4 linked regions of the Arabidopsis thaliana genome follow. The protein of the gene in region 3 binds, or shares a complex with, the protein of the main gene of each other region. Each region holds a gene or a part of one and is shown on either strand. Other genes may lie near its edges.

The links.
Region 1: LSM8 (region 3) and LSM6B share a complex: the UniProt entries of both Arabidopsis thaliana proteins name them as parts of the heptameric LSM2-LSM8 complex.
Region 2: LSM8 (region 3) and LSM6A share a complex: the UniProt entries of both Arabidopsis thaliana proteins name them as parts of the heptameric LSM2-LSM8 complex.
Region 4: LSM8 (region 3) and emb1644 share a complex: the UniProt entries of both Arabidopsis thaliana proteins name them as parts of the heptameric LSM2-LSM8 complex.

Annotation. Positions count from the first base shown.
Region 1 is NC_003071.7:18,145,210-18,153,084, reverse strand, and holds LSM6B (Small nuclear ribonucleoprotein family protein), read right to left. Parts: upstream 3,889-7,875; 5' UTR 3,710-3,888; exon of another isoform or gene 3,511-3,709; intron 3,386-3,510; 5' UTR 3,361-3,385; coding exon 3,246-3,360; intron 2,462-3,245; coding exon 2,348-2,461; intron 2,253-2,347; coding exon 2,206-2,252; 3' UTR 1,790-2,205; downstream 1-1,789. Other genes in the region: UGT74F2 (UDP-glucosyltransferase 74F2), read right to left, coding at 1-95, 183-806; AT2G43800 (Actin-binding FH2 (formin homology 2) family protein), read right to left, coding at 4,364-5,182, 5,264-5,517, 5,669-5,856, 5,941-7,364. UniProt on the Arabidopsis thaliana protein: Component of LSM protein complexes, which are involved in RNA processing. Component of the cytoplasmic LSM1-LSM7 complex which is involved in mRNA degradation by promoting decapping and leading to accurate 5'-3' mRNA decay.
Region 2 is NC_003074.8:22,093,448-22,100,783, forward strand, and holds LSM6A (Small nuclear ribonucleoprotein family protein), read left to right. Parts: upstream 1-3,021; 5' UTR 3,022-3,149; exon of another isoform or gene 3,150-3,368; 5' UTR 3,369-3,393; coding exon 3,394-3,508; intron 3,509-3,973; coding exon 3,974-4,087; intron 4,088-4,172; coding exon 4,173-4,219; 3' UTR 4,220-4,519; downstream 4,520-7,336. Other genes in the region: MPK10 (MAP kinase 10), read left to right, coding at 1-270, 363-543, 618-793; AT3G59800 (stress response protein), read right to left, coding at 1,150-1,338, 1,432-1,478, 1,570-1,705, 2,136-2,237, 2,641-2,727; LETM1 (LETM1-like protein), read right to left, coding at 4,842-4,945, 5,029-5,144, 5,226-5,308, 5,396-5,542, 5,616-5,663, 5,758-5,952, 6,061-6,235, 6,322-6,386 and 5 more. UniProt on the Arabidopsis thaliana protein: Component of LSM protein complexes, which are involved in RNA processing. Component of the cytoplasmic LSM1-LSM7 complex which is involved in mRNA degradation by promoting decapping and leading to accurate 5'-3' mRNA decay.
Region 3 is NC_003070.9:24,432,344-24,440,490, forward strand, and holds LSM8 (Small nuclear ribonucleoprotein family protein), read right to left. Parts: upstream 3,952-8,147; 5' UTR 3,899-3,951; exon of another isoform or gene 3,830-3,898; intron 3,552-3,829; 5' UTR 3,528-3,551; coding exon 3,491-3,527; intron 3,396-3,490; coding exon 3,355-3,395; intron 3,262-3,354; coding exon 3,187-3,261; intron 2,844-3,186; coding exon 2,767-2,843; intron 2,486-2,766; coding exon 2,434-2,485; intron 2,355-2,433; coding exon 2,302-2,354; intron 2,211-2,301; coding exon 2,120-2,210; 3' UTR 1,860-2,119; downstream 1-1,859. Other genes in the region: AT1G65690 (Late embryogenesis abundant (LEA) hydroxyproline-rich glycoprotein family), read right to left, coding at 93-555; AT1G65710 (serine/arginine repetitive matrix-like protein), read right to left, coding at 4,714-6,081; AT1G65720 (uncharacterized protein), read right to left, coding at 8,128-8,147. UniProt on the Arabidopsis thaliana protein: Component of the nuclear LSM2-LSM8 complex which is involved splicing nuclear mRNAs. LSM2-LSM8 binds directly to the U6 small nuclear RNAs (snRNAs).
Region 4 is NC_003076.8:9,811,843-9,819,779, reverse strand, and holds emb1644 (Small nuclear ribonucleoprotein family protein), read right to left. Parts: upstream 4,281-7,937; 5' UTR 4,035-4,280; intron 3,914-4,034; 5' UTR 3,877-3,913; coding exon 3,874-3,876; intron 3,776-3,873; coding exon 3,734-3,775; intron 3,602-3,733; coding exon 3,503-3,601; intron 3,398-3,502; coding exon 3,320-3,397; intron 3,251-3,319; exon of another isoform or gene 3,113-3,250; intron 2,893-3,112; coding exon 2,856-2,892; intron 2,725-2,855; coding exon 2,617-2,724; intron 2,499-2,616; coding exon 2,476-2,498; 3' UTR 2,162-2,475; downstream 1-2,161. Other genes in the region: AT5G27710 (T-box protein), read right to left, coding at 4,762-4,844, 4,987-5,079, 5,225-5,320, 5,438-5,508, 5,899-6,041, 6,116-6,193, 6,268-6,711. UniProt on the Arabidopsis thaliana protein: Component of LSM protein complexes, which are involved in RNA processing. Component of the cytoplasmic LSM1-LSM7 complex which is involved in mRNA degradation by promoting decapping and leading to accurate 5'-3' mRNA decay.

The sequences.
Region 1 (7,875 bases), on a different chromosome or scaffold from region 3:
CCGGTGTCTGATTTGATACGTTGGTCTAAGTAAATTGATGGAATAGTTGGACCAATTGTCAACACAGGACAAGCTTTCGACCACAATTCATTCTCCTGTAAACAAAAAAAGAGCAGTTAGTACATGCACAAGAACAAGAGATGGTTTAAGAATTGTAAGAAAGAGATAGAGAGAGATCTAACATGCAGTTCCAACTCTTGGAAGCTATTAACGAGAACGAAATCAGCTTTTTCGAAATTTATGAACTGTTGAAGCACCATCTCAAAGTAAGCAGGATAAGAGCCAGAAACAGAGAAGAAAGAAGGCAAATCTTGGAGCTCAAGAAAAGGCAATTCCTCAATGGGAAGTTGCAAGCTTCCATTGTTTATGTAAGAAAGATAATAAACATAGTTAACAGCACAAGGCTGCGTAAAGAAAGGAGTCGCAACTAAACCAAACTCTCTAGCAACGTCAAGTGCCCAAGGCAGGAAAGCATCATAGACGATACAAGTGATGGGGTTATCACTAGTCTGGTGTTTTTGGATGATGTCTGCAATGGTTTTCGAGCCGGAAGTTTTAAAGTCTTTGAGGTAGTCGTCGATGGAGTCAGCTGTCTCGAAACCCCCATGGTCATAGCCATCGGAGATGGTGGCTATGGAGATTGGACCGGATAGGTCAGGATTGATGGAGTTGAAGACGAAAGTGGTGAGAGCGAGAGTGGTTTTGAGACCTTTGAAGTGAAGTCGTTTGCAGAATTGGCGGAATGGTGTGATGTGTCCTTGCGTTGGGTACGGCACTGCTAATACATGTCCTCTCTTATGCTCCATCTCTCTCACTTCTCCCCCTTTCTCTCTTAAAATCTTTTGCTTTAACCAAAATGAATATGTCTCAAGAGATGTTGATGAGAATATATGTAGATATAGGTTTTGTCGGTTTCTTGCTTAGATAAGAGTTTTGCGATAAGAAGAAATGATAGTTTTTTTGTTTTACTCTTCTTCTTTTTATTATAAAAAAAAAATGGGAATAAGAAAACAAAACCAATTTGCATGTCTTTGACAAGGAAAGAAAATGTGTTAATAAATACAAGTTGAACTTCTTCTTTGTATTAATTTTGGCTTCATTATTTTGTCTACCATGTGCTTTTCTGTTCTGTATACTTTTTTTAAAAACACAACCATGATATGTACTATTTTGAAATAAGTTGTTAAGTAAACATACAAACGATGAATATAAACGGATGGAGAAACCATGTCTGTGTTCAGCGTTGGTTTTTTTTTGTTTTTATTACATTTTTGGTAAAAAATTGATGAAAAGAATATCGATGTCAAGATGTAAATACAAACACACACAAAATCGAAGCTTTTATTGTTATTATTTGGAGAAGTAAAAGAGATGGAAAAAAAATAAGAGAGAGCCGAAATGGAGAATGTACTAATTACTAAAGACGTGAAAAGGTTCTGTACGGCTCTATAATAGTCGACAATAAGAAAAAGGACCTTGTCTATTTGATGTATTCTTCAAGTATATCTGACATTTCCTTATTTCCTATCTATGATGTATGATTATATATTGTAACTTTCACTAAATCCAGTTTCATATTTTCTTATCACACAATCTCAGATGTCAACAATAGTTGTAACATCTCTAGTGGATCAATATTGAACCAAAGCAACCTTTATAACGACAAGTGTCTAGCCTGGACATGTGCACTGGAATCGAGCAACATTAAAAACAAATGTTTACTACTATAAACAATCGGTTTCTTAAGTCAAACAAAAAAAAAACGAAAGAAGAATCAAATACGATAGAATAGAACAAAATAAGCTATATTATTGTTATTCGATCAAATCATAAATACATTAATGATTGAAATAAGGAGTTTTTAAACCTTTGCTGTCGAAGAATAATTAAGAATATTACGAGAAAAGAAAAAAAAAATACATTAATGATTGTTAAGATGACATCAGATTGTGACGCAGTGATTGCGTCATCAAAACACGATAATTAGGCTCCAAAGACCAACAGTGATTAAAAAAAATTTCATAACAAATAAAAATCTAGCTATATCTCAGAATTTTGGAGATGATTTAGACACAAACTGAGTTGCGGAAGAAAAAGACATGTCGAATTCATGCAGTGGTGATAAACTCTGGTTGCTACAAATCCTACATTTGTCATATGCCAGAGGTAGAGAAGAAGATGAACATTCATGGTGATGAAAGAGAGCTATGCTCCATCTGACAATGTCCCCTTTGTTGTGCTGATGTAAAGAACTGTGGCCAACATAGAGCATATTTTTCAGAATTGGATATAAAAAAACATACTAAACCGATTTAAAGAGTGATGATGAATGTGATTTGGTTTTTACCATTGTTGCCACGGACAAAAGCGTCGCCATATGTGTTCTTCAGCTGGCCATTTACATACTCTTCGGTTTGCTCCATTGCGATGTTCATATATCCATCAAGACAAGTAAGAATGCCTGCAAACAAGAAGAGAGACAAAGTGTCATATGTAGATTGATACAACATGATATGCCAAAGAAAGAATAAGTCTGACTTTTGTAGATAAACCAAAGAAAGATATTCAAGCTAGAAGTTCTCCTAGTCCTGTAAGTTATATTATAGAGTTCAAGAGACCAAGGTCTTAATTTCAGGTGATAAAGGCTCCATAGCAAGGTGAGAGTCCATATTCTATCAGAAGCAAGAGTAAATGCATCTCAAATTCAACCACATTTGGGTCTGTTATCTCATGAGAGAAGCTCTCTCAATTCACAAAGCTATCATCTGAATCTAATATTCCTCTCAAATTCCAAAAAGCATATGTTTCAAAGCCGTATGTTAATTTCCTGCTCATCTAGATTATATTTCTCAAAATCCAAAGCAAATATCTCAAGCCGAAATGTATTATTCCTTCTCAAACACAGAGACAAGATAGGGAAAAAACAAGCAAGCTCAACAAAAATGAATCTTCAGAGATGGGACTTTCAAATCAAATGAGAATCAAGCAAGCAGTTCTTAGACAAAGAAAAGAGTCATTCTGTAAACCAACATCCAAAGGTTCCAGTAACATGGCGAGAAAGAAAGGCATTGAGACATCTAAACCCAAAGTGATAAAGAAGTTTACATAGACTTCCGATAGCTTAATAACCACCGAAAATCAGAAGCAAACTATAAGATATCATCACACAAGGCAAAAAAAAAAAGAATTTGAACTGGATACATCTTAGAGGAGAACACAAAATGCAGAAAGAGAGAGAGACAGACCTCGATAATCAACACCAGAGTTGAGCTTGACAACAACTGGTTTACCACGGATAGATTTCAAGAAATCAGCAGGTGTCTTAGTTGTTCCAGAAGCTTTCTCTCCAACTCCACTCATCTTCTTTGCTAAGAAACCACAATATCTGCCCACCAAATTAGATCCAAATCAAACAAGACCCCTCAGAATATCCCACAAAGCCAACAACTTTAAGCAACAAATTCATGTCAGCAATTCGAGATCCATAAATCAATCAAATTACATAAAGACCTTGAGAAAAGGAATCATCTTGAATACCAAACTCGTAGCATCTCAACGATTACTCCCGAATCAAACAAAACTATGTGCCCTAAAACCCTAAACCTCAGACCAATTAGGAAATGCGCGAATGACTTGGATTAAGTAAAAAGAGAAACTTTGAAATGGATTGCAGAAACAGATGAGTCTGGGAAATCTAAGAACAACGAACCTCGAGTCCACGAACAAACGGTAATTGGCTAGAGACTTCCGCTCGATGAAGCAGCCGAACAGAGCGAAGAAGACATGTGACGCATTTACAAATAAGTAAAAATAAAATTACAATTAAAAAGGCCCAAGCCCAAATTCGAATCAGCCCACATGGAAAACAATCCGAAGTCCAAGTTTTTTTATTGTGGTTTAATTATGTGCGAGATTAAAACTTTTTAGTCAATTTTAAAATTTTAATCGTGAAAATGGTGAATTTTCAAAATTCGTTGGGAGAAGAACTTTGCAAAGATGTTTGACATCAGCAATTTGGAAATGCCTAATGTGAACCAAACAAAAGAATAATTTCAGTTTCTTTTTTTACATTTTGTAAATAGTATAGCTTGCAATAATTTAACTTTTCACAAGACTTTAGTTCTTCTATCGTTTTAGGTTTAGATCAATAAATACATCTACACGTGACATAAATAATTCAACAGAGGACTGGAACACGTACAGAGCCCGATGATAGCAACTTGCAACAATCTGCCAAAATCTATTTAAATTCGCCTATCAATAAAAATATAAATATGTATAACACATATATTACTTGAGTACGTAGCAAATGAAACCAAAACATTAGCATACACCGAACCAAACCCGAGCCAACAGTTTTCACTTAGAACGAGCCATCGTCGTCGTCTAGAGAACCCGATGGACTTAGCCGTGAGTTGTTATTGATAACCACCGGAAACAGAGGCGTGGCGGTCTGGTTCGATGGCGAATGTAGTGGCATGGATCCATACACCGTTCTCTCGTTTACGCGTCCAACTTCTTTACACACTTGATCAAGAATCGTCAGAAAGTCTCTGACCACAGCGAAAATGCGAAAAGGATGAGTTTCCGAGTTCCCGTGGAAATACTCTGTTACTTCTTTAACCATCTTCATGACATTGTCTCCATGAGATTGTAACTCTGTGATCTCTTTCTCACCTTTGTTCAAGAACGAGTTCATTGACTCCAAGAATCTCTCTACACCTGTTTCTTGCTTTAGCTCCGTGATTACTTCCTTGACTTTCGCTATTCCTCTGGCGATTTCCGCTGTTTCGTTGATGAGGGAATTTGAATCCATTGCCGCTGCTTTCTTGACGTTAATCAGCTGAGAGCTGAGACCTGAAACGACTTGCAACCCGAGTTTCTTGAGCTCTAGGTCATCTTGGAATGCGGATTGCTCGGCCATGTTATCGCCTATATGGCTTTGACTCGGAGTAAAAGGAACCCGAGCTCCTTCAAATTTTATGATCTCTTGAACCACAAAATGCAATAAGGTGGTTTTCCCATCCGCGCCTTTGATATCTACCAGTTTTAAGAGCGTGTCGAGCTTGAAAGCATGTGCGTCCCCTCTATTGGTTCCTATATTCATCCGGTTCCCAGTCTTGAGCACGGCTTCTAAAAGCTTCAAGAACATCCGCGTGTTCTTTAACTCACCAGTAGCAGCCTGAGAGTTTGATCAAATGCATATGAATGATCTGTTTGATCAGCAGACATACACTTATGAGGTGGACAAGTAGAGTTTTACCTCGAGAGTGTCGAAGGATCTGTTAAGGTACTCGATTTCTGATTCGAACTTGACAATGTAAAGCATTGCATCAATCCTCTTGAAGGCGAAAGGAATGTTCAACAATGCTTTGAGGAATTTCTCTGCAGGTCCTATCTTGGAAGGAGATCCATCATCATCATCTTTAAGCTCCTTAAGCTTGTCCTCTTCTTCTTTAGTAGGAGCCATCTTAAGCAAGCATTCGAGAAGCTCGGGTCCAAGCGTATCCGAGTTACCTGATTCATGAACAAGAAAGTGATTAGACATCAACTAAGTCAAACAAGTCAAGCTTCAATAATCACAGACCAATTTGAGGAATCATCAAACCAATGCAATGTTGCAGTAAGTGCGAGTAACCTAAGCAACAACAGATTGGAAATTACTCACCTTCTATAAGAGCTTCACATACTTCATCAGCAGTTACATTAAGAGCTCTCAACAAAATAGCAATGTTGTGTGACTTTCTTGGATCAAGAAACCGATTCTCCTGACTCACGGATTGAACAACGCCATCTCTTGTTCTCGAAGTTGGATCATTCACCTTGAACAATGTCTCTATCATTTCTTCATTCACTCTGCAAAAACACAAAAGAATCATATCTTAGTCGTGTATGCAAAAGGATAGATCAAGTCTTTAATTCAGATTCGTTATGTCTTACTGAAAGGAGTTTGATTTGATTTGGTCCCACACCATAACACGGCTCGAGCTTGCTCTAACTTTATCCCAATGTAAAGTCTTCAACTTTGGTTTCATGGTCTCCACTTTCTTCTCTGGGTCAGAATCATCACCAGGAAGGGAATGCGACATAGTAGCCGGAACCTCCGAGACCTGTGGCGGCGGAGGAGGTGGTGGAGGTGGCCTCGCTGGACAAAGCCGCTTCGGAATGCCGTTGTTTGAGCTTATCTGACTGTGCAGCGAGACAGGAGGACTAATTGACTTAGGTTTCAAACTTGTTCCCGGAGAAGCATTCAACGACGGCGCAAAATTAGTCGGCGAACACGAGTTCGAGCCTGAGCCGTTGATACTCCTGTTGTCAATCTGATCAACATCAGAGACACGGGTCGGGCTCTGTTTACGCCCTGAAGATCCTCTCGGAGAGAAAAACTCATCGTTTTCGTTATCGTCTCCGTCAAAGTCTTGTCTTTTAGGGTTTAACTGTTCAGTGCTTTTGTAAACGGGAGTGAAAGATTGGAGCTTTGGTAAAGGGGGAAGAGGACGAAGCTCTGGCGAGCCTAGCTTATGGTACTGTGAGTAAGAAGAAGAAGAAGACGACGAAGCTGGAGGAGGTAATTCCAATACGCCGGTGATACCGCCAGAGAGGGAGATTGGAGACTTTTGCTGCTCTAAACCATTGCTTCGAGAGTTTACTAAAGTACCTAAGTAGAGAAACTCAGAGGAAGTGTGTGAGGAAGTGTACTTTGGTGGTTGTTGATGTTGTTTCTGTTTCTTAGAGCCGTCGGAAGGAGAGGCGTTGAAGAGCTGAAGAGCGTCTGATCTCGTGGATTTGGTGTCGTCTGCAGGGGAGGAGCGGCGGCGGTGGCGAGTTCGGCGGATGAAGATGATGAAGACGGCGAATAGAGAGAGGAGAGCAGCGGCGGAGATGACGGAGGCGGTTATGGTGACGAGCCTAGCGATGTGGCCGTTGCTGGGAGGCTTGGATTGTTTGTTGTGAGTCGGAAAGAGAAGGGAAGAGATGTTGGCGGGAAAAGTTGGGAGTGAGGCCGGAGGAGGTGGTGCTGGAGGAGGGTGAGAGGCGGTGGAAGTTGGGTCTGATGAAGGGAAAAAAGGGTTTGGATGCGGCGGAGACGGCGGAGGAGGTGGAGGATTTGCTACGGAGGAGAAAAGATGTTTCTCGTGAGGTGGTGGCGTCGTCGTCGTTAGGTGTTTCTTGTGGTGGTGATGTGTGTGTGGGGAAGGAGATGGAGGTTGGGAAGAGACGGGTGGTTGATACGGTGGTGGAGCGGCGGTTACGACCGGGAAAAAGGGTTGGTGAAGTAAGTGACGAGAGTGGTGACGTTGATCGGCGGTGGAGGAAGAGAAGAAGAAAGCTACAAAGAGGAAGCAGAAGGGTATTGTAGTCATTTGCAACGTTTTTCCCCCAATCACACACAACTAGTTTTAGGGCTCGTTGTTGTTGTGGCATTCAAAATCTGACATTGAAGAGAAAAGAGAGAGAGAGAGAGAGAGAGAGAGAGAGAGAGAGAGAGAGAGAGAGAGTGAAGAAGCGTTTGGTCTGGTCGATGAAGAGATAGAGAGAGAGAGTGATAAAAAAGGTTTGGTCTTTACGAGGGACTCTTTTAGAAAGAGAAATTGGAGGGAATAGTATAAGTAGGTGTCATTACTTAATTCGAATTAGTATTTAACGTCTCTCTAGTATTTGATTTGATTGAGAAATGGTAGTTCGTGTTTTATTTATTTCCACGTTTTCTCTTATCCAAAAAGGCTTTAAATTTTGTATCTGTAAAACCGAATAATTGATAATTAAAAATACAATTCGATCATTAATTTGTTTGAGAACAAAAAATTAAATGATATGTTGTTTGGTTGGACCAATTGTTAGAAGAAATATCGATTTTCGATCATAATGATTGCT
Region 2 (7,336 bases), on a different chromosome or scaffold from region 3:
GATCTAAAACCAAGCAATCTCCTCTTGAGTACACAATGTGACTTAAAGATTTGTGATTTCGGGCTCGCTCGTGCAACTCCTGAGAGTAATTTAATGACTGAGTATGTTGTCACAAGATGGTACCGTGCACCTGAGCTTCTGTTGGGCTCTTCTGACTATACCGCAGCAATAGATGTTTGGTCTGTTGGCTGTATTTTCATGGAAATAATGAACCGTGAACCGCTCTTCCCGGGGAAAGATCAAGTTAATCAGCTTCGTTTGCTTCTGGAGGTAGTAAAGTAAAACCCTTTGTTGTGCCAAGATCATATTCGTTTTTTGTGATTCATGATTAGCTTAAAAAGTCTTGGGACATTGTTTTGCAGCTCATTGGCACTCCATCTGAAGAAGAGCTTGGATCGTTGAGTGAATACGCTAAGCGATACATAAGGCAGCTTCCTACGCTTCCTCGCCAATCTTTCACTGAGAAATTCCCGAACGTGCCTCCCTTAGCAATAGACTTGGTGGAGAAGATGCTAACATTTGATCCTAAACAGAGAATCTCAGGTCAGTTTCTGTCTCCATATAGCCTCTTCTGCAGTTTTATTTGGATTCTTATCATCAGTTTTGCCACTTTGCAGTTAAAGAAGCACTTGCTCATCCATACCTTAGCTCGTTTCACGACATTACCGATGAACCAGAGTGCTCAGAGCCCTTCAATTTCGATTTAGATGAACATCCATTCTCTGAGGAGCAGTTTAGAGAGTTAATCTACTGTGAAGCCCTAGCTTTCAACCCTGAAACCAGCAATGATTGAAAAGGACCATATCTTTGATCCTTGTTCTGTTTTTTTCTTTTCCTTCTCTGCTTTTCTTTGAATAATTTCCCTTTTCATTTCCTTTAATTTTTTCATCTCTCAGAAATTTTGTTGTGCTAAGATTTTCTGCTAGATTCCCTTTTGATGTTGTCAAATTTCATTTTTAAGCAAATAAACTGAAAAACCATGATTCTGTGGGCATCATTGCGACTTTCAATCCAACAAATATTAATACATGAGCTATTGTCAAAAATATAACATTGCAACAAGGAAGAAAGCAATCATATCCTACTTTGAGTATTTTGATTGAAGACAATCTTACTCTTTGTAATAGTTCATTTGCAGTTTTGCTTTTGTCAATTCTTCAAATTGCCAAAGAATCTAGAGAGTGGTACAGGGCCATCGGTTTCGTGTTTACTTTTGCTAGAGTGTTTGTCTCTGCTGGACTTGTGCTTCTTCTCCTTCTTTGATCTTTTCGAACTTGATCTTGATCTTCTAGATTCATCTTCATCACTGCTAGATGACGACTCTGAGGACGAATAATGCTGCAAATTCATAACACAACCGATCATGGTTCATGTTAGCATAAGCTAGAAAACCTCACACTATCTGATATAAGCTAAACTTTTAGAAGGCACCTTTCTCTTTTTGCTTTTCTTCTTCTTTGAATCTCTGTCTTTCTTATCTGCGAGGTCATTGAACCATTGGCGACCAGTTAATAACGTCCTCAGAAAGAAGGTTTAGATGTCATGTTAAGTTAAGTGGATTATGTTTACCTTTTCGTGACTTATCACTAGAATAGTTCCTTCCTTTGGAGAGTTTCAACGACCTTTCTGCATCCAGCTGAGCTCTATACTCACGCATCAGTTTATCGGTATCTGCTTCAAGTTCTCCCTTTTTCAATTCTTCTTCCTACACATGTTACACGAAAGAAAGATATAATGTTAAACATTTCCTAATGTTCCATACTCACAATACAGAGAGACTGCTGCAAGTAGTAGTAAAAAACTGATATTGCAGATAATAAAAATGTTTAAAAAATGAGCATGACTAGAGTTACTTGAAAACCGCGAGATAGGGATAGATGTAATGTAGAAGGAAGACACACTCATTTTTATATAAACACACAAAGACTGCGTATCTGTGGCTGAAGATGATAAACAGCAGAGGAAAAGAAAATGATATGTTGGAATAAAGCTTCTAAATTGACGACAATAATAGCAATCTTATGAACACTAAATCATCAATGGTCAATTGATTATCTTCTATGGCATTATAACAAGGAACACCGTTCCATACAACATACAGAAGAACTTAAGTATTAAAAAGGCAAAAAGATTACCTTTTGCTTCTGCTTATACTCTTCCCAGGTAATAGTATGTGTAGTCTTGAGGCTAGCCAAACGAGCCGCATGCCACTCTGGTGTATGAAATGAACCATCCACCTGAGACAATCCTCATCAGAAATGTTCCGGTACCAATGCAAAATATCAAAGTTTGACTAATCCAAATGCTTCTTTGTGTTCACAGCTTACAACAACAATAAAAAGACTCTTGAATCACTGTAACACAAACTCTGATGCTACACTTTTACGAAATCACATTTAAACATGGACTTGATATCGTCTACAAGACCTAGCAGGTATTAGATACAAGTTCTTCCCCCAAAATTGGGACTCATAAAGGATCTCTTGTAGGCTTAATTCTAAATGCAGCTCGATAACCCAACAACACAAAAGATCAACAAAACCATAAGTAAATCAACCAAATTGGAATTTTGTTTGGAGAAGTAAAAAAAAACAGAATCAATTTGCAATGAAGAAGATGAGAGTATGAAAAGGTACAAACCATTCCGTCTTCAACCTCATCCGGCTGGGCGGAGCTGGAACCAACCCTAGATCTCTGCATAGCCTTGTAAGCTTGATTCTTCCCCATAGCTAATAGAAGATTTACCCCACAAGAAACAGTCCGCAAATTCCTTGCAGGAGAAAGAGAATTTAGAGAGATTGAGAGGAATTGTTTGTAAAATCTAGGGTTTGGGGGATTAACGGTCCAAAGGGAGAGGATTTAGGGATCTGTAGAGAAAGCAAACGAGAGAGAGACGAGAACAGAAGAAACTGTGAGGTCGAACCGAAACGCACTGGAGATTTAATTTCACCCTCCAAAGTAAAATAATAAAATCTATAAGGACTAATGTTCAATTATTATTAGTTTTAATATGAAAACTCGATCGAATCGAAATAACAATAATCATATAGTATATAGTTTTGGAAATAAATAATAAAAGCCCTTAGGACCGATTCGTTATTTCTTCGCTCTCTCTTTCTCTCTGTGTCTCGTACTCGAGTAGGTCTCAGGTAAGGAGTTCTTCTTTCAGTTCCTTTAATCCTTGTTAAAGTTTCGATTTCTCTTTACATTTTCAATCGAATTCGCTTCTATTGGGTTGAAGGTTTAGGTTTTTAGGTTTCGGAGTCTTTTTGTGATTCGAGAGATTGACTCTGAATGGTTTTTACCTTTTGAGTTTTTGTAGTTCGAAGAGCGACCAAACTGATTTCAGATCTCAATTGTTTCTGCAGTTACGTAAAGGATCGAGCTTAAAAGATGAGTGGAGTTGAAGAGAAAGTTTCTGGAACGACAAAGACACCTGCAGATTTCCTCAAATCCATCCGTGGGAGACCCGTTGTTGTCAAGCTCAATTCTGGTGTTGATTATCGAGGTGCCTCTCTCTCTCGTTAGATGTTCTTATGTGTTTTGCAAGTTCTCTATCTCTGCTGCACTTTAGGTTAGAAGCTTTGACTTAGGACTAGTTCTTTTGTCTATGTTAAGGGAATTAAAGAGTTGCTTGTATTAAGCCCACTTAAGTAACTTAATTATCATGTTATGTCTTCAGCTTTTAAATGATTCTTTTAAAGTCAATATGTGAAGCTTTTCTTACATTTTCTAAGGTTTCCTTGTGAACATTGTTCAATGGTTTTCTTAAGAACATGTTCCTTTCTGCCTGCAATAAGGTTACAATAGTTGACTGAGATATTTGAATATTTAAGTCAGTTTCTCTCATTATCAAGGCTACTTATATCATTCTTGTTGACTTCTTTCCTTTCGTGCCCGAGTCAGTTTTGTCTATGTTCTGTTCAAGCTTAATGTTGAGTTCTTGATCAAGTTTTTATTACTCTTTTCACAGGCACTCTTACTTGTCTTGATGGATATATGAACATAGCAATGGAGCAGACGGAGGAGTATGTAAACGGGCAGCTCAAGAACAAATATGGTGACGCCTTTATCCGTGGAAACAACGGTAACTAAAATCTCTCACACTCATCCTTCTCTCAATCTTCTTCTTTGTATATCTTTCTTTTTAAGTGTGGTTTCTTTGGATGCAGTTCTTTACATCAGTACAGTAAACATGACTGTAGCAGACGGAGCCTAGGCCCATCATGATCATCAACAACAACAACAGTGGTCATGTTATGGCTGCCATTTTTGTTGTCTTCTTCTACCTCATATTAAAAGAGTAGTAGACATGTACCAAGATTGTCATCCTATGTTCTTCAGTAGATTTTTGGGATACAGACATCACTTTTTTCTTAGTAATATGATACTCTTCCATGTGACCCCAGATAAAGAAGAAAAATTATTAATTTATGGCTTGATACAATCATACAAGCAAACAAAATTGAGTTTGGGTGACCAACAGATCGAAACGAGGAAGATCATTAAAGTTTAGTAATCGAATTATGTCATTTAGGGATCACTGGAAACACACATGTCAAACTAGTATAACCAGTCAATCATCAGATTATCATATTCATAGCCATCGACACATTTGAATCAGGAGTTTCCATTGAAATAAAACGCTCAAGATATCATTCTTGGCGTAATGTTATTTTTAATCTTCAACCTCTTTTCACATTACTAGCAAAAGGTCTCGTATTCTTAGCCGCTTGTATATGTAAGTAGCCTGCTTATGTCTAAGCAGCAAAACATGAAGTAGAGCTTCTCTCAATAAAACTCTCTTCACTAGTATTAAAAAGTCTATGTGTGTCTTAAAATCATAGTATTATTTCCTTCAGCTTGATTCTTCTTCCGTTGCATTTTCTTCTGGCTTGCTTCCCAATCTCCCCAACCTTACAATGTCTTCCACCATAATTCTTCCCTCTGTTGAATAACAGATTTATAAAAAAGATCAACTTCAGGGAGATAAGAGCTCAAGAAGGAGAGGATCGCTCTGTTCTTTACCTTTATCTTTGGAGAGACTACTGATTAGTTGTTGAAGGCCGTCGTTAGCGAGTGTGTCTTTCAGGTACATTGCAGCAGCCGCAACTTCATCAGGTGTGACTTTTCCATCTCGATCTCTGTGTTCATTCAGATGTGATCACTTTAGATTCTAAGTCTCGGAAACAGAACACTCAAACAGAAAAATGGAGTCTATATACCTGTCAAGAAGCTGCCAGCCTTTGCCAATTTTGATATCCACATCATCAATTTCCTTCTCTAGGTTTTGTATCAGACCATCAACCTTAAAAAGTATGACCGAAGAGTAAGCCTCTTAAACAAATCTCATGGGACTTTAATAGTCTTAAAAACCGATTTAAAATCTTCTTACCTTCTCCATTAGTGCAGAGGAAACCTCGTCTGCTTCAGCAACTTCATCAGCTTGGTCAATATCTACTCTAGCTGCTTTGTATGCCTTCATTGCAGCTTTTTCACCATCTACATCTTCTCTCTCGACCATTGTGTTATAGAACTCCACCTGGAGAAACAGAAAAACAAAGTCTTTCAATCTACGACACAAAGTGCTGATCAAGCATTGGTGGACAGCGTACCTCTTTCTTGACCAATCTCAGGAATTCTTCGCGCTCTCTACACACCGACTGTTTATATCAAAAGCAAACAGAGTATCAAATAAATATCCAATAAACTGCTCTGCATACCCATTGTTGATAACCATAGACTCATTTTTCTTACAGAAGCGGAAGCCAAAACGCCCAAGGCGCGGCTAAGTTTGCAAAGATCATCTTGTTGTTCAAGAACTCTAGCTCTGGCCTGTTCTTGTGCTTCGCTGGCTGTTGGTATGGTCATCTCTTGCAGTGCCTTATCCTCGTCACCACCTTTAACATCCTTAATCCTTGTAAGCTCTTCTTCTTCTTTCTCTTCTTCTTCCTGCAAATATAATAAATACAAAATGTAAAATCTGGAGCAACCAAAATTCGGTTTCTCTAACTTCCTCAAGCAAGCATAATCCAATACAGTCAAGTGGTGTATCAAGACCTTGATCAGTTCTTCTTGCATCTCAAGGTACTCTAATTTCCGTCTTCGCTCAGAAACAGGGTCTTCAGATGGCAGAGAAGTAATACCAACAGTATCCACAACCTCGTCAGGTAGAGAAGAAAGAGTAGCTCGGACAGCATCCTCTGCTTTAACTCTTCCAGCAACCGTGAATGCCCTGAATATAAATTGCTCTTAGAAATTTCTTTGCAATAAAACTGATCGAAGAACAAAAAAATGACAGCAAAGAGTACTGGAACCAACCTAGAGAGGATCAATAACGAAGAGGGGACAGAATGATTAAGTGACAAATCCATCCAATCGCGAAGCTACAAAATTGTTTCAATACTAAAACATTAATAGCTGTAGAGTTATCTTCTCCTGATGGAGTTTAATAAAGAAATAACAAAGAATCAAGAATCATAGGAGTAAAGAGGAGAAACCTGTTGCCTCATCTCTTCAACTGAAACCAGTCCCAGCATTCCCCGTTCCCTGCAATCTTCGCGTAACTCAGCTTCTGAAAGGGAATCCACACCCTCAGCTCTAATCAGTTTATCATCTTCCTTAATGCTGCAGTGAAAAGAAGTAGAAATTAAACATCAAATTAAGGTAAAAACTAACAATTCTAATAACAACGAGATATGGAAGAATCTTACCTCCTCAGTCTTTTTCTGAGCATATACCGCAGATAAGCATCTGTTCCATATGGGCTAATACCCATATATTTGCACATGCTAACCAAGCGAGGCCTATATTTGAAAAACAAAGAGGTATATTACTGTCGGAACATGAACCTCTAAGAGCACAAGACATCTCTGAGATCAAACAAAAAAGAAACGACTAACCTGCTAATGTTATCCAAAGTAAGCTCATCGTTGAAAAGCTTTGCAAAGCCCAAAAGTTCATCATTATGGACTATTTGACCTCTTCGAACCTGCAAGGCATGATTTTAAGAACAAGGAGAATGAAATTCAAATCCAAAAACCGAAAGAAGAGGAAGTATTTGAGCCAACACAAAATTATGACTGTTTACCTTGTCTAGAAACTCATCCAGGTCTTCAGCGGTTTGCTTTACTTCTCCAGTTCTTGAATGTTTAACTTCCTTAGCCATCTCTCTGGCGGTTTCCTGAAGAAACTTAGCATATTCTATCCTTGCAAGTAATTTCCTTTTCAAAGCTTCCTGTGCATTAACAAAAGAGCAACATCGGAAAGAGACCAAGAAGGCAAGAAGGTAGTAAACGAATGAGTAAAGCCTACACTCTGTTGAAACATACCTCTT
Region 3 (8,147 bases):
CCAAATAAACCGGTTTTGTAGTGAGATTTTGAAGCCTTCCTACGTTAAAAAACCAAAAGAAAGCAAACCGGAGTAAACCAAAAGTGACGTACCATTGCTTAGTTGATGTTCCATGTACCACACGGTAATCTTGCTCCCATCTTCATAATAAATTCCAATCTTCTCGTTCGGATTCTTAGCGGTTATAGTCACGTTAAAAGCCGTAGTCAAACTCGAGTCTTGGTTCAGTGCAAACCGGGTGAGCTGTAACCGGTCAATAGAGTAATCCGGTAGCTTCGGTTTAAAGACAAGGTATAGTATACCAATGGATGCGCCTACTGCAACGACAAGAAGCAAAAGAAAGCAGAACGTGTAGCAAAAGCATCTGCAACAACAACTTCTTCTCTTCTTTGGAGGAGCCAACGGCACGAACCGTTGTGGCCTTTGGTTCAAAGGGACTTTGGATGGGTCTCCATGTTCTGATCTAGAGGAACCACGAGGAACCAAAGGAGCTGTTGGACGCGCTGTTGCGGCTTCTGGATCTTGGACCGGATAGATTTTTTGGTGTTGAGACATTTTTGGAAAATCTTGATGACACCAAGAAGAAGAAGAAGCTTTGTTTGTAGATCTTATTTAGGGGTTTGGGAAATTAATATAAGTAGGGACCTTATGGAGTTTTTAAAGTCAAGAGGGAAGAACTTTTCAATGGAGAGACTTCTCTATATGAACCTATAGATTATGAAAAACAAGTACATTCGCTTCCATACAACACATCACACGTGTAATGTGAATTTGCGTGTCTGCTTAGGTAGCGGTCTTTTATGGAAATTGAGTTTGATGTGAACCCATCAAATAAAAAAAATAAAAATCATTAGTAGGTATCAAATTACTTGCAATATAGATGGAAAAATTAGGATGACTTTTTGGAAAATACATATATTGTAGTCCTATACATTATCAAACAACTAAAAGTTATATCCACTTAAGATATTTTCCAATTACTATTTGTTTCTTTTTATTTCCTATAATTTTTTCTATTTACTCTTTTGCTCTTTCATGTTTACTCTTCTTGATTTATTTATATTTCATATATAAATGGTACTTAATCTACAAAATAAAATTTCATATATTTACGCCTCGCATTGTCTTTGAGAAAATACAAGTTTTTAATATTTAGATCGCATATAGTTTGACTAATAGGTACATTATAAAGTCAAAATACATTTGATGAAGATCTACTTTACTTTTGTTGACCTAATCCCCTAAGACTTATGCAGCAGTGTTCTCATGCATTTCGTCATGAATTTTTTTTCTTTTACTTTTTTGTTAACATGCTTTATTTTATTATTTTTTTTGCAAATAAAATTCCATTCGAAATCCCTAGGCCCCAACGATGTTAATTTATTTGTAGTGTTTCTGTTTAATATTAATCGTTATCAACGAAAAATTTTTAGAACGCAATTCTTTTGTTCTTCATATTAATAACCAAAAATCAAAAGCTTCTGATAACACTTACTATGAAAAATTTCAAGAAATAAATCACTTAATATGAAGAATATTACATTGGAATCGTAAAAGAAGACCCAAGACTCCGATGAAATCAGAAGTGTTTGGTTTTGGCGAGTTATTACCAAAACCAACGACTTGTATGATGCGACTATGGGAGAATGACATATTAAGTTAATATCTATATTGTTGTCTTATAGAAAATGTATGATGCTTCTAAGTTTTAAATACGGCCATTTGTTGATGTTGATAGATTTGATGATGTATATAATCCTTCTAGATGAAATTGCAACGACATTATAATTTGTAAGATACCAGAAACTAATTCCTCTTTTTTTTTTCTTTTGCAATTTGAATATCTATAAAATTTTGGTTAACAATAAAAGTTTTTTTTCTAATCAAAGAATTTGTGGTCTAGTAGCAAACCTAGGTCCGTCCAAAAGATTGTATGATTTAAGTTTCCGACCAAAACGTTTAAGACATAAAATATCATATAGCTTTTGTCCTTAGGATACACAAATAAGACAACTCCAGACATCAAAACAAACTATCCAAATTGTTTACAATCAAATCTTCTCTTTGTTTTTAGGCTTTGAATGAGAGAATTAGATTTTCTCACCATAACTATATTCAATCAATGCACTACGGGTTTCAACGGATGGGCTCTCAGCTTCGAAAAATCCAGACTAGCATCAAGCTCCTCGTCCAGCTCCCCGATAACACCTCTGATCAAAGATGACACCATTTTTTTTATTGAAACAAAAAAACAATTGCAATGTTAGAAAATCACTGATGATGATGGATGATAAGAATTACATGTTGTCCCCTCTGATGATGTACAAACCCAACACATGTTGTTGTACTCCTTCCTGCAAAGATGAAGACATAGTAAGAGGTCTCAATCCTAATTCCAATATCCATCATTTTAACAGAACTCTGCCTTCACACCAAAAATATCCAAGAACATTTGTCTAATGAAGTATCAACATGACCTGACATACTCTTAGTGTAAACAAGAAAACAGACATGAATCAAACCTTTAACCCTCTTACGAAAAAAAGGAGGTGATCATGTATAATTAATTACACACTGCCAATATCTACGTATTTGACTTACCTATCACTAGCTAAATCTTTTGACATATGAACTCACAAGATTTTTTCAATCAGTTATAACACTCGAAGAATACTAACACTAAATCTGTTTCGGTGTATCCAACACTATCTGATTTAGATACTTCCATTCAGAGGCCAGTTAGTTCATGATTCACTATTCTCTTACCAAACAAAGAACTGTAGGACAAGGCCTATCTTAAATATCTGAGTAAGTTTCCTCAATATTCTGTTGAAAAGATGACACTACGCAACTAAATCAAGCAATGTACATTATTAGCAAGAACGTAGTACCAATTAAAAGATCAATACCAGACGACGAAAGATGCTTTGAGTGACAATGAACAAAAGATAAACTAGCATCCTTATAGTACCTCTATTTTTCTAGTTTTATGCGATCACTACAAACAAAATATGGAGACATCGAGAACTCTGCTACATCATAGCCACTCATGGATACAAACCAACAAGGTTTTGCAGGTCATACACTGGCCAATTTACTTGCAGAAAAATGTATTTGCACCCATTCAATTTAGTAACATCGAAAAGTTCAGATGAAAATACTTTAAAACAGGAATCAGAAGCTAACCTTTGTGGAAAACACACGTTCATGAGATTCATCAAGGATTATATTTGTAGCCTGGTCAAAACCTTTAAGAACTCCCTGAAAAAATATAAAAATCGATCTCTTTACTAAGATACTTGCATTGACATAAGGAGTTCTAAACCAGATATCACACAAGAGAGTATAACATACCACAATGTTGCGTCCGTCATTTGTAATCACCGAAATAATCTCTGCAGCAACCAATCAAAAGATAAGATCTTTAGACAATTCATGTGACAGAACATCACATATCAATCGAGAATGGCAAAAAAAAAGACTAACTTACGATCGACGAGAGTCTCAAGTCCAGTAGTTGCCGCCATGTTACAGTTCGGAAATTATTTGAACTGAAAGGTTACTAAAAATTAGACTAGGAATTTCATCGAACACTTGGTGTGCTTACGGATAACAATGAAAAATTAATAGATTTCGTATCCATCTCAACGAGAGATTTCACCAAACTTAACATAAATCCAGAATTACGAGAAACAAATGATAATTCCAGTGTAATTTGACCTAAATTAAAAGAAACCACCGAATAGAAAACGAATGTAAAACAGGTTCTGGTTCACCGGAGGGTTTCAAGGAATTCAGAAGAAGAAACGTATGAGGGAAAAGCTCTAACCTTTGCTGCTTCGGAATCTGAAAATCGTTACTTGGCGGAGATTCTGATTGGTAAAGAAACCCTAAAAACCTTTTCGTCACTGTTGTTCTTAGAAAACTCTCCGGCGTGTGTTTTTGCTTTTGGATGTTGCTTTTAACTACGAAATGTTAAAAGAAATACTCAAACCGAACCGAACATTTTATCCGGTTTAGTTATTTTATCCGAAACCGACAATTCTGAAAATTTTCACCTGAACCGAACTGTTTAATCCACCAAGTATGCATGGTTCGGGGTTCAGATCGGATTCAGTTTAGATTTTTTGGATTCATCCGATACAAAAATTTAGTATATATTTGGGTTCTATGATTATTTGGTTCGGTTTTTGGAAAAAACTACATATTTTTTCAAAATTTTAATAAAAATTGAATTACAAAAAATATATAATTTTGTCATTTAGTTTAGGTATAATACTAAGAATTTTCGGATATTTTGGATATATATAATATATCTAAGATATTTTTGGATATTTTTGTTAATTGGTTAAGGTATAATTATAATTTAAAACATCTAATAATTTTGAATATGTAGATATTGTTTCGATTTTTCAGATATACTGTTTGGTTTTTGTTTCTGTTCGGGTTCAGTTGGGATAATTCGTGTAAAATTATTTAAAAGTCTCTCCGGTTATATGATTATTTGGTTTGGTTTCGGGTCCGATACAGGTTTTTTGGGTTTTATGCCAGACTGAAGATAAGAAGAAGATTCATTGAAATTGTCAAATTGACATCTGAATTACAAAATAAACCAAACAAAGGAAACAACAATAGACAAACAAAACAACAATTTCTCCATATTAAACCGCAACAACACGAGTTTCTGTTATTGCTAAAAGTGAATCTCCCTAGTCACGTAACATTGTTGCTACCAGATGATTCCTCCAACGAACCACCACCTCTCTTCACAGTCACATACTTCTCAAAACTCGGTTCCATAAGATCGGCTTTCTTCACCGTCGATGTGAATCTAAACCGGCTCGAATCAGACCTCAAACAAGTTCTGTTCGTCATAGAGTTAAGATCAGCCACTGCTTCAACAATTGAACAAGCTTTACTAACACACAATGGCAGCGAAATCACGCTATCATCAACACTCTTCCCATGAAAACTCTGAATATCTTTCAACAACAATGCAGTGTAATTGTTATCCTCGTTTGATACCAAATCGAAATCTCGAGATTTCCTCAACGATCTGCTTCTGCTTAACACAACTTGAGGAGCTTTCGTAAGTTCTACAACAGCAACACGACTCGGGCTTGGACCTCTACTTGTTCTTGAATTAGGTTTCACAGATTCTATCATCTTCTTAGTGTTTTGATCAATCTCTCCCAATGGATTTCTTCTATAGGGAGATTGTTCCGCCTTTCTTGAATTACTCCGGCTTAGCGAGGGAACATTATTCCCCGCTCTAGCCGGAGATTTTGACCTCGGAGACGCCGCTATTCTGCAAGCGTCTCCGATGTTTCTCTTAACCGTAATCCGTTTTACTAACGGCTCTACATTGTTACTCTTATCCGTTGCAGGAATCGTAACAAACTTTCCCGGTCTATTATTACTCGAATTTACCGAACTGCCACACGAATCAGCGTTACGAATCTCAGAACGTTTCGCCGGAGATCTACTCACTCTCCTACTACCACCGCCGCCACCGCCGACATTTCCTCTTTCTCTGCTTCCCGATCTTTCTCTTTCTCTACTCGGAGTTCGTCTTCTCCGTTCACGAGGCGAACCATGCACTCTCTCTACTCCACGGTGACGATTTCGCTGCATTCCGTCTTCCTCCGCCGCATCGCCGCCGCGGATTCTCTCGTTCTGGTCAAAATCAAAGCTTCTTTTAGAACCAGAGTATCTTCTTGTTTTAGCAGCAGAGTTGCTTCTACTTAGCTTCCCACATTGTATCAATATAGCATCAACTTCTTCTTTAGTACAGCTAGAGATTCTCACAAGCGGTGTAGAATTCGATTTCTCAGCCGCCACAGGAGAAGAAACTGGAGAATCTTTATCTGATTCTGTCTTCTTGGATCTCTCTTCATGGCTTCTTGTGTGTTTTATCACCACAACTTCTTCTTCTTCTTCTTCTTGATTCAGTTTCTCAGATTTGGGTTTTGCTTCTTCCTCCAAAGGCTCAATCACTGGTTCCATGGGTTTGATTGGATCTGAGGGTTTAACACTAGAGGGAAGAGAAGGGGAAGGTTTCTTGCTGAGACAGCAACCCATTTTGTGACAAAGAATTTTGAAGAACAGAGAGATTTTGAAGTAGAAGTGAGTCAAGAACAAGAGAGTTTTTAGGGGAATGTCTTTTGTGTAAGAAGACAAAAAGATTCAAAACTTCAAACTTTTTTGTTTGGTAATGCGATTTGTGACAGACAAAAGTTCTTTTATTTCAGAAAGTATTCGGATAGGACCCATTACTTTCTAAAATTAAGAAAAGTCGGGTGAAATTGTAAGCTTTGAAGAATAATGGGGTCAAAGTGGAATTAATTTATTTTATTAAAGATAGTAATTTTGAAATTGGAGCCGTTATACACACTGCAGTCAATGTCGTATTATCTCTGACCCTTTTTGCCTTTTTCAAAGCAAAATGGTTCTCTTCAAAAATTCTTTTAATAAGTTTTAGAATTCCAACGGTTATTTGCATGTTTGATGGTTTTGTTTGTTTACCAAAAGAATATGAGGTTACAAATTAGGATATGAAGAAATAAACATCAGTAGTTTCTATTGAAAATAAAATTTCGTTTTATGTATAAATAATTTACTGAGTTTGATTAATGATATTTGTTGTTAATCGAGTGCTTTCATTAATATTAACTCATGTGACCAAACTGAATGGTGATGTGCAAGTTTCTTCATATGTATAGTGGAGGACCCAAAAACAATTTTATTTTATTTTATCAGATAACTAAAATACTGAAAAAGAAACGATAAACAATTTCTTTTGAGGTAGTTTTTTTGAATATATATGTAGTTTTTTAAGAAAAGAGTACCAAGACAATTAGGTTCTTTTGAGGTAGTTTTTTAAGAAAAGAGTATATATGTAGAAAGCAAAATCTTGCACCATTTGTGTTGACAATCGAAAATCGGACCGATTTTGAGACATCTATAGATTCTATTACCAAGACAATTAGGTACTGGATTTTACATACATAAAACAACCTCAAATCAAATAGTAACATAACAAAGGATTGTTACAAGGCAAATAACTACTAGACTAGAGAGAATAAGGCACTTAATTGTTCCTCTGCATCCAAGACATCAACCTTTAAGCTATATACATACACAACGATGACCATTAGCAATAGAAACTAGAGACTCTCAATGCTTTGAAAGCTATGCAAATCAGAAATTAGTATCAATGAGAATCATCCACATATCCTGCGACCTACTTAAAAGGGTCTACCTACTAGGTAGTCAGAAATATAACAAGAAACAGAACAGAAACTAGACACTGCCTAAAGTTCACAATGCTTGAAAGCTATTAAACCACAAAATGGGGCAATAAGAACCATATATACAGATGACCATAAGCAATAGAACCTAGACACTCTCAATGCTCTGAAAGCTATGCAAAACTCAGATTGGGGTCAACCAGAGTCATCCCCATATCCTGCTACCTACTTAAAAAGTCTAGCTACTAGCTAGTCAGTAAGATTACAAGAAACGGAACCGAAACTAGACACTACCTTAAGTATGCAATGCTTGAAAGCTATTAAACAACAAAATGGGGCAATGAGAACCATACACACATATGACCATAAGCAATAGAAAACTAGACACTCCCAATGCTTGAAGGCTGTTCAAAACACAGATTGGTTAACGAGAATCAGACACATATCCTGCGACCTACTTAGGTTCTAGCTAATCAGTGCTTGAAAGAATGAAAGCTATTAAACCACAAAATGGGGCTATGAGAACCATACACATATCCTGCGACCAAGTTAGGTTCTAGCAAGTCAGAAAGAAAACAAGAAACAGACTTCTCGAGTCACGACCTTGGTTCCTTTGATGATCAATCCATTTAAGTATTAAGCTCCTAAACTAGTCACATTGGTATCAAAGATAATGAATAAATCCATAGGTAACATCATAATCACACTTATATATATCTAAGAAACATCAACTACAAATCGTAAAAACACTGATACTTAGAGTATAGTAAGTTTAGATAAATCCATAACAGAGACGAATTTACTTGTACGCAACAACATAGATAAGCAACAACGTAAATCATGATAATATGCAGAAACTGAAATTCACAACCTCAAATCAAGCAGCTTCCTTCACAG
Region 4 (7,937 bases), on a different chromosome or scaffold from region 3:
TTTCAAACCCAGATGTAATCGTTTGAACGATTTCTTGCAAATCGAGGTTTCTAAAACCAAAAGCCAGAGACATTAATTTTAAATAGCTAGCACTTAAAACTAATTACCAACTCAGATTTTTAGAAATTATTGAAAGAAAACATGGAAAAGAAGTAAAGCAATCGATAATAATCCGATTGACTGGAAAAAAGATAAAAACCAGTCAACACCACTTATGGAAGCTGGATTTGCTCGACATAAAACCGGTTATCTCCACTATTGAAGCTGAAAGATACCGGGCAAGAGCCCGAGTCACTCGGGACGGCTTCACCGGAAATTTTCCACTCGGCAAAGATTATATTTTTTTTCTCTGAAAGTTCGATTGAGAGAAGAGAGAGAAAGATTTAAAAAAAAATGGTTTGTGTTACTGTTGTACGCGATGGAGAGAGAGAGATGATGAAGGAAGCAGATGAAAGATAAAATAAATTCTTAACGTAATTGTTTAATAAATATTGGGTTTTTACACAAGATGACCAAAGAAGACCCGTTAATTAACTGACATATTTTCGACATTGTTTATATGGTTTTTGTACACAAAATATGACCTATAAGCCCCTACACAGTCTATCCAGTCTAAAGTAATATATAAGATACACAGTAACGTGTGTCAGAGACGAGAGACATAATATCTCTCATATAGATTCGATTCAACTTAACTCTGTTTTTCTTTTTTCCGATATTCAGTTCCAGTCTCCGTTCAAAGCTCTGTGGTTCTGGTCGATAAATCCAAATAAGTTTCGCGAATTACCGGCAGTTTCTCTCAATCGTTTAAAGATCTAGTTCTAAATCGATTAGGGTGTGGGTTTGCGGTAGAGGAAAAAAATGGTTCTGAAATGATGGGGTGAGAAGAATACGGCGGAGATGTGGTGGTTGAAGATTACGCAATGGTAGTTTTTGTTCAGATTCAAATTGGTTAACAATTAAATTACCTAGTTAACTAAAACTTTATCTAGAGGTAGTGATAATAATAATGTTATTGGATGAAATTCATATTTTGTACGTTATAGTAACTCGTTAATTTTTTATTATGATATAATAAATGAGTTAAGATGGTAAATATCTATATATATCACATCAATTATAACTTATCGCGATACAAAATGACTTACCATGACATAATTATAAACTTATTGATATAAATATTTGTTATCATGTTAACCTAATAAATATTACCGAGATATTTGTTATCATGTTATCCTGATAATACGTTATCTGCTAACTATTCTGATGCATGAATTTTTTTATAGAGATTTTGAGCATTAAATGCTTTGATTTTATGTCAGAGATTGTGTCGGGATAGGGTTATTATCGTCATTATTTCGTGTGTCAGAAGAGAGAGATTTGATTATGAGATTTTCGTTCGCAAATCTTTAATTATATCATCTTCTATGATTTTATTTTTTGTTTACCCATAAATATTTAAGTTTACATTGAGAAAAATAAAATAAATGACCAAAATACTCATATTCTCATGCAAATTCCATTACTACTAGTTTTTTCTAGGGATTTACTCAGATAATAATTAGGTTGTTATTACTAGATAGCCAAATTCTGAGATTAAATAAAGATATTAATCATAAGTTTAGTTTTTGTTAGAAAAGAACTATGGATTCACACGTTAGACGGTGTATATTGACGAAAATATCTTTATCAATTTCTAATATTACAATAAGACTTCCGATAGATTTGAGAAGAGGAAAATTCAATTGTAAAAATACAGTGAAGAAAAATATGTAATTTTCATGATATTTGAAGAAATACATATGACTCCTTACATAACGTGAAATATTGACAGATATGTATAATTATTACATTAAAACATAGTTATTTTATGAAATACTAATGATATATTGGATAAAAGACATGTAATTTGTTTATATAACATGAAATCTTGACAAAAATATGAATCTGTTCCAAAAAAAAAATATGAGATTTTGTTAGATAGCTTGACAAAAATTTACAAGTCAATGTAAAGACTTAAGAGCATGTTTTGTCTTTGAAATACATGCGTTTTTTAAATCATATCTAATCTTATATGTCATGCCGACGAGTGATGGAGAAAATCCGGTGAAAGAGGAAAAAAAGAATAGATAGGAAAAAAAGAAAAATAATAAAAGGGTAAGATGGACCAAAGATCTTATAAAAACCCTGTCGTTGGTTAATTGTATAAATTCTCTAACAATTATATAAATTCAAGACCTGAAAGATTCATTTTTAAGCGCAAATGAAAACAATTGGAATTTCACATATACCACAAAAAGGCAAAAGACAAATTTCATTTTTCGAAAAGATCACAAGGAGAATCGAAAAACACACTCCCTATCCCTTACATACTTAATAGAAAACCAACAACAGACCAACTTCTTATGTAACTTTTGGTTTTCTCCACAATGGGAAGTTAGCAGATTTGGCAGCGAGTCTTTAAAACTTGTTGCATCAACCACGGCCGCGACCTGCTCCTGTTTTTCATAACATATTAGAGTTTTAGCTTAAATCCCATTGTGGCAAGACACAGATATTTGAAGTATTCTAGTAAAATCAGAGTTTTGTGACAAGCTTTGTTTGTGTATTTTTTACCTCTGTTGCCACCCATCTTCCCCATTGAAGTTCCTCTGCCTCTGCCTCTGGCTCCTCCATCATCCACACCACGTCCTCTTCCACGTCCAACACCTGGTGGTTTTCTATCTGCACATATTCAACCATCGTTATTAACACCTGAAGTATTCTCAATGTCTACTCTGGCAAAATATTAACACCTCAGAAAACTCGAAGCATATCTCAGTAAAGGTACAATATAGACATGAGTAATACTATACCTGTGCGTGTCTTCTCCTCCTGTACTTTATCAATCACCTGAAGAGAGAAGAAATCAATTTAAGTCAGTTAACTCAATCTAGGTTGCAGCAGTAAGAACATAAATAGAAACAGCATATGACTGTCCTTCTAGATGAAGATATCGTTTATGGTATGTGAATATAATTTGATTTTAGAGGGAATGAAATAAAGTAGAAACAATAGAGAAAAATCGCATCAGAAACACAACACAGCAAAGTCCATAAAAGTGGGTCAACATTCTGGTCAGCAATAACCATTCCCTGTGATATCGTCTAAGACGCACTACAACAAGAGGCACACCATCTGCTGAACAAGGTTCCACAGAAAAATGCCTCTTGGAGCACATATCTGATTTGGCTAAGCATCATCATTCCAGAGAGAGGGGAACAAAGAAAAAACTAGATCAAGCAAGAGATATATACACACACACACAAAAAAAAATTACCTCATCCGGAACTCGAAGGTACTTGATTGTGTTACCACGGATATAACATTCCGGCATCCTCCAAAATCTATCTCCGTCCTAGAGTAATCAAGCAGCAAAATATATGAGTGTCAGCTACACAAAATTTCATCACGAAGTCTAAACAAAGTATATTTGTATCAACATATGAAAACATAAGATAACCTTTGATGTACATATGACTTCACGCAGATGGATGTTCATCCAAGTATCACAATTCACCAAATGCCCATTGTATGTCTCTCCATTCTTAAGCTCCACGAGCTACCAAAACAAAACAAGATTCAAAATTACAGTAAAAGGAAGTTCCTTTAGATCCCTAATGCAATGCTCACTTAAACTCAGCTTCACTTCATATATAACAAAATTGTAATCAAGGGTCGAAATTTTACTCACCATAGGATGCCCTTGAGCAGTTTTAAGCAGCGATAGAGGAAGCTATAAAATCAAAACAACAGCTTTCAGTTAATAAAAATTGAAACTTTAACGCAAACAAGAAAGAAGGAAAAAAACCCTAAGTTTGTCTAGTAACTTACCATCTTCTTAAATCAGAAGATTTAGAGATCCGTTAAGAACCTGATGACATCAGAGAAGTATAACATTAAACCCTTTATAAGATGCGGAAGAAGCAATAGCGAAAACGGAACAAAAACCCTAATTCAGCTACTAAAAAAAATCTGAGAGAAAAGGGAGAAACCTTGTAATATACTCCGAAGATCGGCAAGAAGGTGAACGATTCAAATATGAAAGAGATCGAAGAATAGAGAGGCGTCGAAACTTCGAAATCTGTTTTTTGCTTTTTTCTGCTTCTCGGGTTTTGACAGTGAGAGGGATGGATTTCTAATGAATCGGTGGTCTTTTAGTTTTAGGTCAATGGGAACTTTTTTGAGTTTTGCACTCGAGTCCCTTAACTTTATAATATTATCTGTTTTAGTATATATTGTTAAACATATCAATCTAGCCAACTAATCCGATGTCGTCCAGCGGTTAGGATATCTGGCTTTCACCCAGGAGACCCGGGTTCGATTCCCGGCATCGGAGCTTTTTGTTTTAATTTTTCGTATACTTTGTCTACACCAAAGTGTATTTGTAGCCGTTGGCAATGGTTACCTGGTGGAAAATAACTAATCATTAATATGTTATTGATGCTCTCGAAATTAATTAATTTACATCACTAAGGCGAACTGTGTGAATCAAACAAAGCCAAGTGATATGTCAAATCTAATCCTAAACTTTTACAATTAAGCTTAAAGCCTCAGCAATGTGATTGTTAAAGCTATTTTGTAACCGACAATACTTCAGACCTCTCTAAATTATCAACCAACTCGAACGTTATTGAACCTCGACCAGCTCCAGTAACTAAATCTTAATCAAAGTTTCAATTACACACAACTGTGTAATTGTGAATCTGTAACTGGTTTGTTTCAGCACATGAAAAGCTGATAGTCAGGTTCGTGAGCTCCGACATTCAAGTAATTGACATCAACTGCGGTTGTTCCCAAATCATCTGGTGGAGAAGGATAAGACATAAAGTTTCAATAGAGCATAAATCTTTAAGAGACTTTGAGTGTATGTATGTGTAATCAAATGTGATCTACAATGAAGCAAATTGATGAGTGAGATGAGAGAAGGTATAGAGTTGTTCAAACCTTCGTATATTGTTCTTACAAACTTAACATAGTCAGGGATGAGATCTCGGTATATGATTCCATCCGGATGCGCATCAAGAACCACAAGTACACCTACAGATCAATCAAAGGAAAGGAAGATGTCAAACGTAACACTACAATTGTTTTCCACGATACTAATGAAAGACAAGATCATCTTGAAACTATGAAGTGTTTAGATCTTTTCTATTACTCTCAGAGATGAAAACAGATATTATACCTGGAGCAACCCAATCTGGAGAAGAGTTGCTAGGTAATGGTGCAAGCCAAAGGATATTCCTCAAGTTCATTGAATCATTGTATTTCACGTCAGATCCTAACAAAAAGGAGATACAATCATAATACTGAAGATTTAAGGGATTTCTGTGACCATTTCTATGTTTCAAGAGATTGCAAGAAAACTCACAGTCACACGGACAAGAACCCATATTACCTCTCTGGCAATATCCCATGTTGTAAGGAAACACTTTCTTGTCATAGGCTGGATACTCTTTAGCATGAAACCTACCATCACCAATCAGATACTAGTCAACAACAGTACTCAAAACCTAGCTCAACCATGTAACTTTCTATAAATATTCCCCAAAACTCATTACTTACGTTCAACCTTTCTAAAAACACTGCAACAATTGTGTTAAGAATCAGAAACCATTCTTCCTTTATTGATAACTGTTGGTTACATTCAAGAACACAAGAACAAACCCTAGAGAGTTCTCTTCACTCTCAAAGCCTAAATGCTCCCAATTAACCAAATGGTCTAGACCCCCTTATATCTACTATTCTAGTGCCTATCAAAGCGTCTCGATTCTTACACAACGAAGTCAGTAACAGAACATGATCATCATTACTATTTCAAGAGTCCTAGTGTGTGTTGAGGAGACAAAGGAGACTTACAATATTCCAAGGCGTCCAGATTCTGAGGCAAGGAATAAATGGCCATGGAACAAATCATATCTACTCAATGAAACATTCAATCCAACACTAGGTCCCCTAGATTCAATTAGATGAAACAAGAACTCGAAATATGAGTTCACTTCCTGTTCATTAACATCATCAATCAGATCACTACACCATAAGATCAAACAGTTCACAAAATAGCTTCTTTTTTTACCTCTGCTATAAAATGACGACCATAAGGAGTTCTAGTAAGTTGACATTTATCTTTTCTTGATCGTTCAACATCAGGAACCTATAAAACCAAATTTTAACCAATTCAATCTAACGAACAATAAACCAAATCAAACCATTAAATTGAAGACGAACCGGGATCATTTTCGGATTGAGAGTTCGCTGAATTGAACCGGGATCACCACCGGAGTCAACAGCGAGACGAGCAAGCTCTAGAACCGATTCCGGTGGCCACCAGATTAGAGAATTCTCCTCTTCAAACTTGCTCCGTCTCTCAACGGCGTCAATTTTTCCGGAACAGAGTCCAGTACGAGGCGAGCATCGTCCAAATTCGGGTTTAGGTTTATCCGATTTGAATGGGACGAGGAATTTAAGACACGATTTGATCTCTCGAGAGACGATTGGGTTGAGGCACGACGCGGCGGAGGGAGGTCCGAGAACGGAGAGTAGATCGTCGCCGGTGGCTTTCGGAAATGACGACGGAGAATGAGAAGCGGAGTGGAGTTTGAAGGATGAAGCTGCTGCGATGGAGAAGGAGATGAAAATGGTGAAACGAAGAGGAACGTACGAATTCACCATTGTCGTGTCCTTCCTCTGAATTTTTGGTGAATCCACATTATCTTTGTAGAAATTGGAGAATGGAGAAGAGAGACTGTAGAGTCACGTAAACTCCATTGGAGAATTATTAGAAGTGTTTAATTAACGAAGCCATTAATTAGCGACAACGACAAACATTGTGGCACACAATTTGTGGGCAACCTTAAAACCCATTAAGAAGCCCGTTAAGAAATAGTTGGGCCACTTCCATCAAACGACGATCTTGATCATCCATCAATTTTAACATCCCACATCACTTATACATTGCCATTTCACAAATCACAATATTCAATTTTGTTTCTATGGACTTTATGGTTTATGTGGAAAGCATGGAATGATAAAGTGTTTAAGAGACTCTACGAGGAACCCACTAATATTATAAATTATGCTCAAAGTTAACAATTATAAAGGGAGGAGACACAATTAGAGGCTCTTGAGGAAACAAAATGACTCCACAACCTCATAACTTATGTTCTTGAACATTGGATGTCAGTTTGATGGATCATGGAAGGCGTCAGACCACACGACTGGGTTTGGATGGATTTGTTTGCAAGGCGATACATTTTTTATTCTATAGGGTCCAAGTGTCATCGGAGGAGTGTAAGTAATGTGTATTGCATATATTTCCAAAGGAGATTACAAGCATATATATACATGAATCAGTAGAAAACTCTAGGTTAAGTCTCTTATAGAAAGAGAGATAGAAAAGGAAATAAGATATACAGGGAATGATGATATGATCATATCATATCCTTGACACGCCCCCTCAAGATGGAGGGACTATGGTCACACCAATCTTGTTTCTTAGCTCGAGAAACCGACTGCGTGGTAATGGCTTTGTAAGTGCATATGCAAGCTGATCTTTCGTGTTGACATGAGAGACGCGGAGAAGACCGTTTTGAACTTGACCCCGGATGAAGTGATAGTCGATGGCAATATGTTTCATTCGAGATTGAAACACAAGATTAGCACAAAGAAACGTAGATCTGACATTGTCGCAATAGATGACTGGTGACACTGGTAGTATGATTCCAAATTCAGTGAGTAGGCTACAAATCCAACGAATTTCTGATGATGTGTTTGCAACCGCTCTGTATTCGGCTTCTGTGGATGATCTTGCAACACCATTTTGTTTCTTTGCAGACCAAGAGATAGGACTTTTACCAAAGTAGACGATATATGCATTAGTGGAGACGTAATTATGTGAG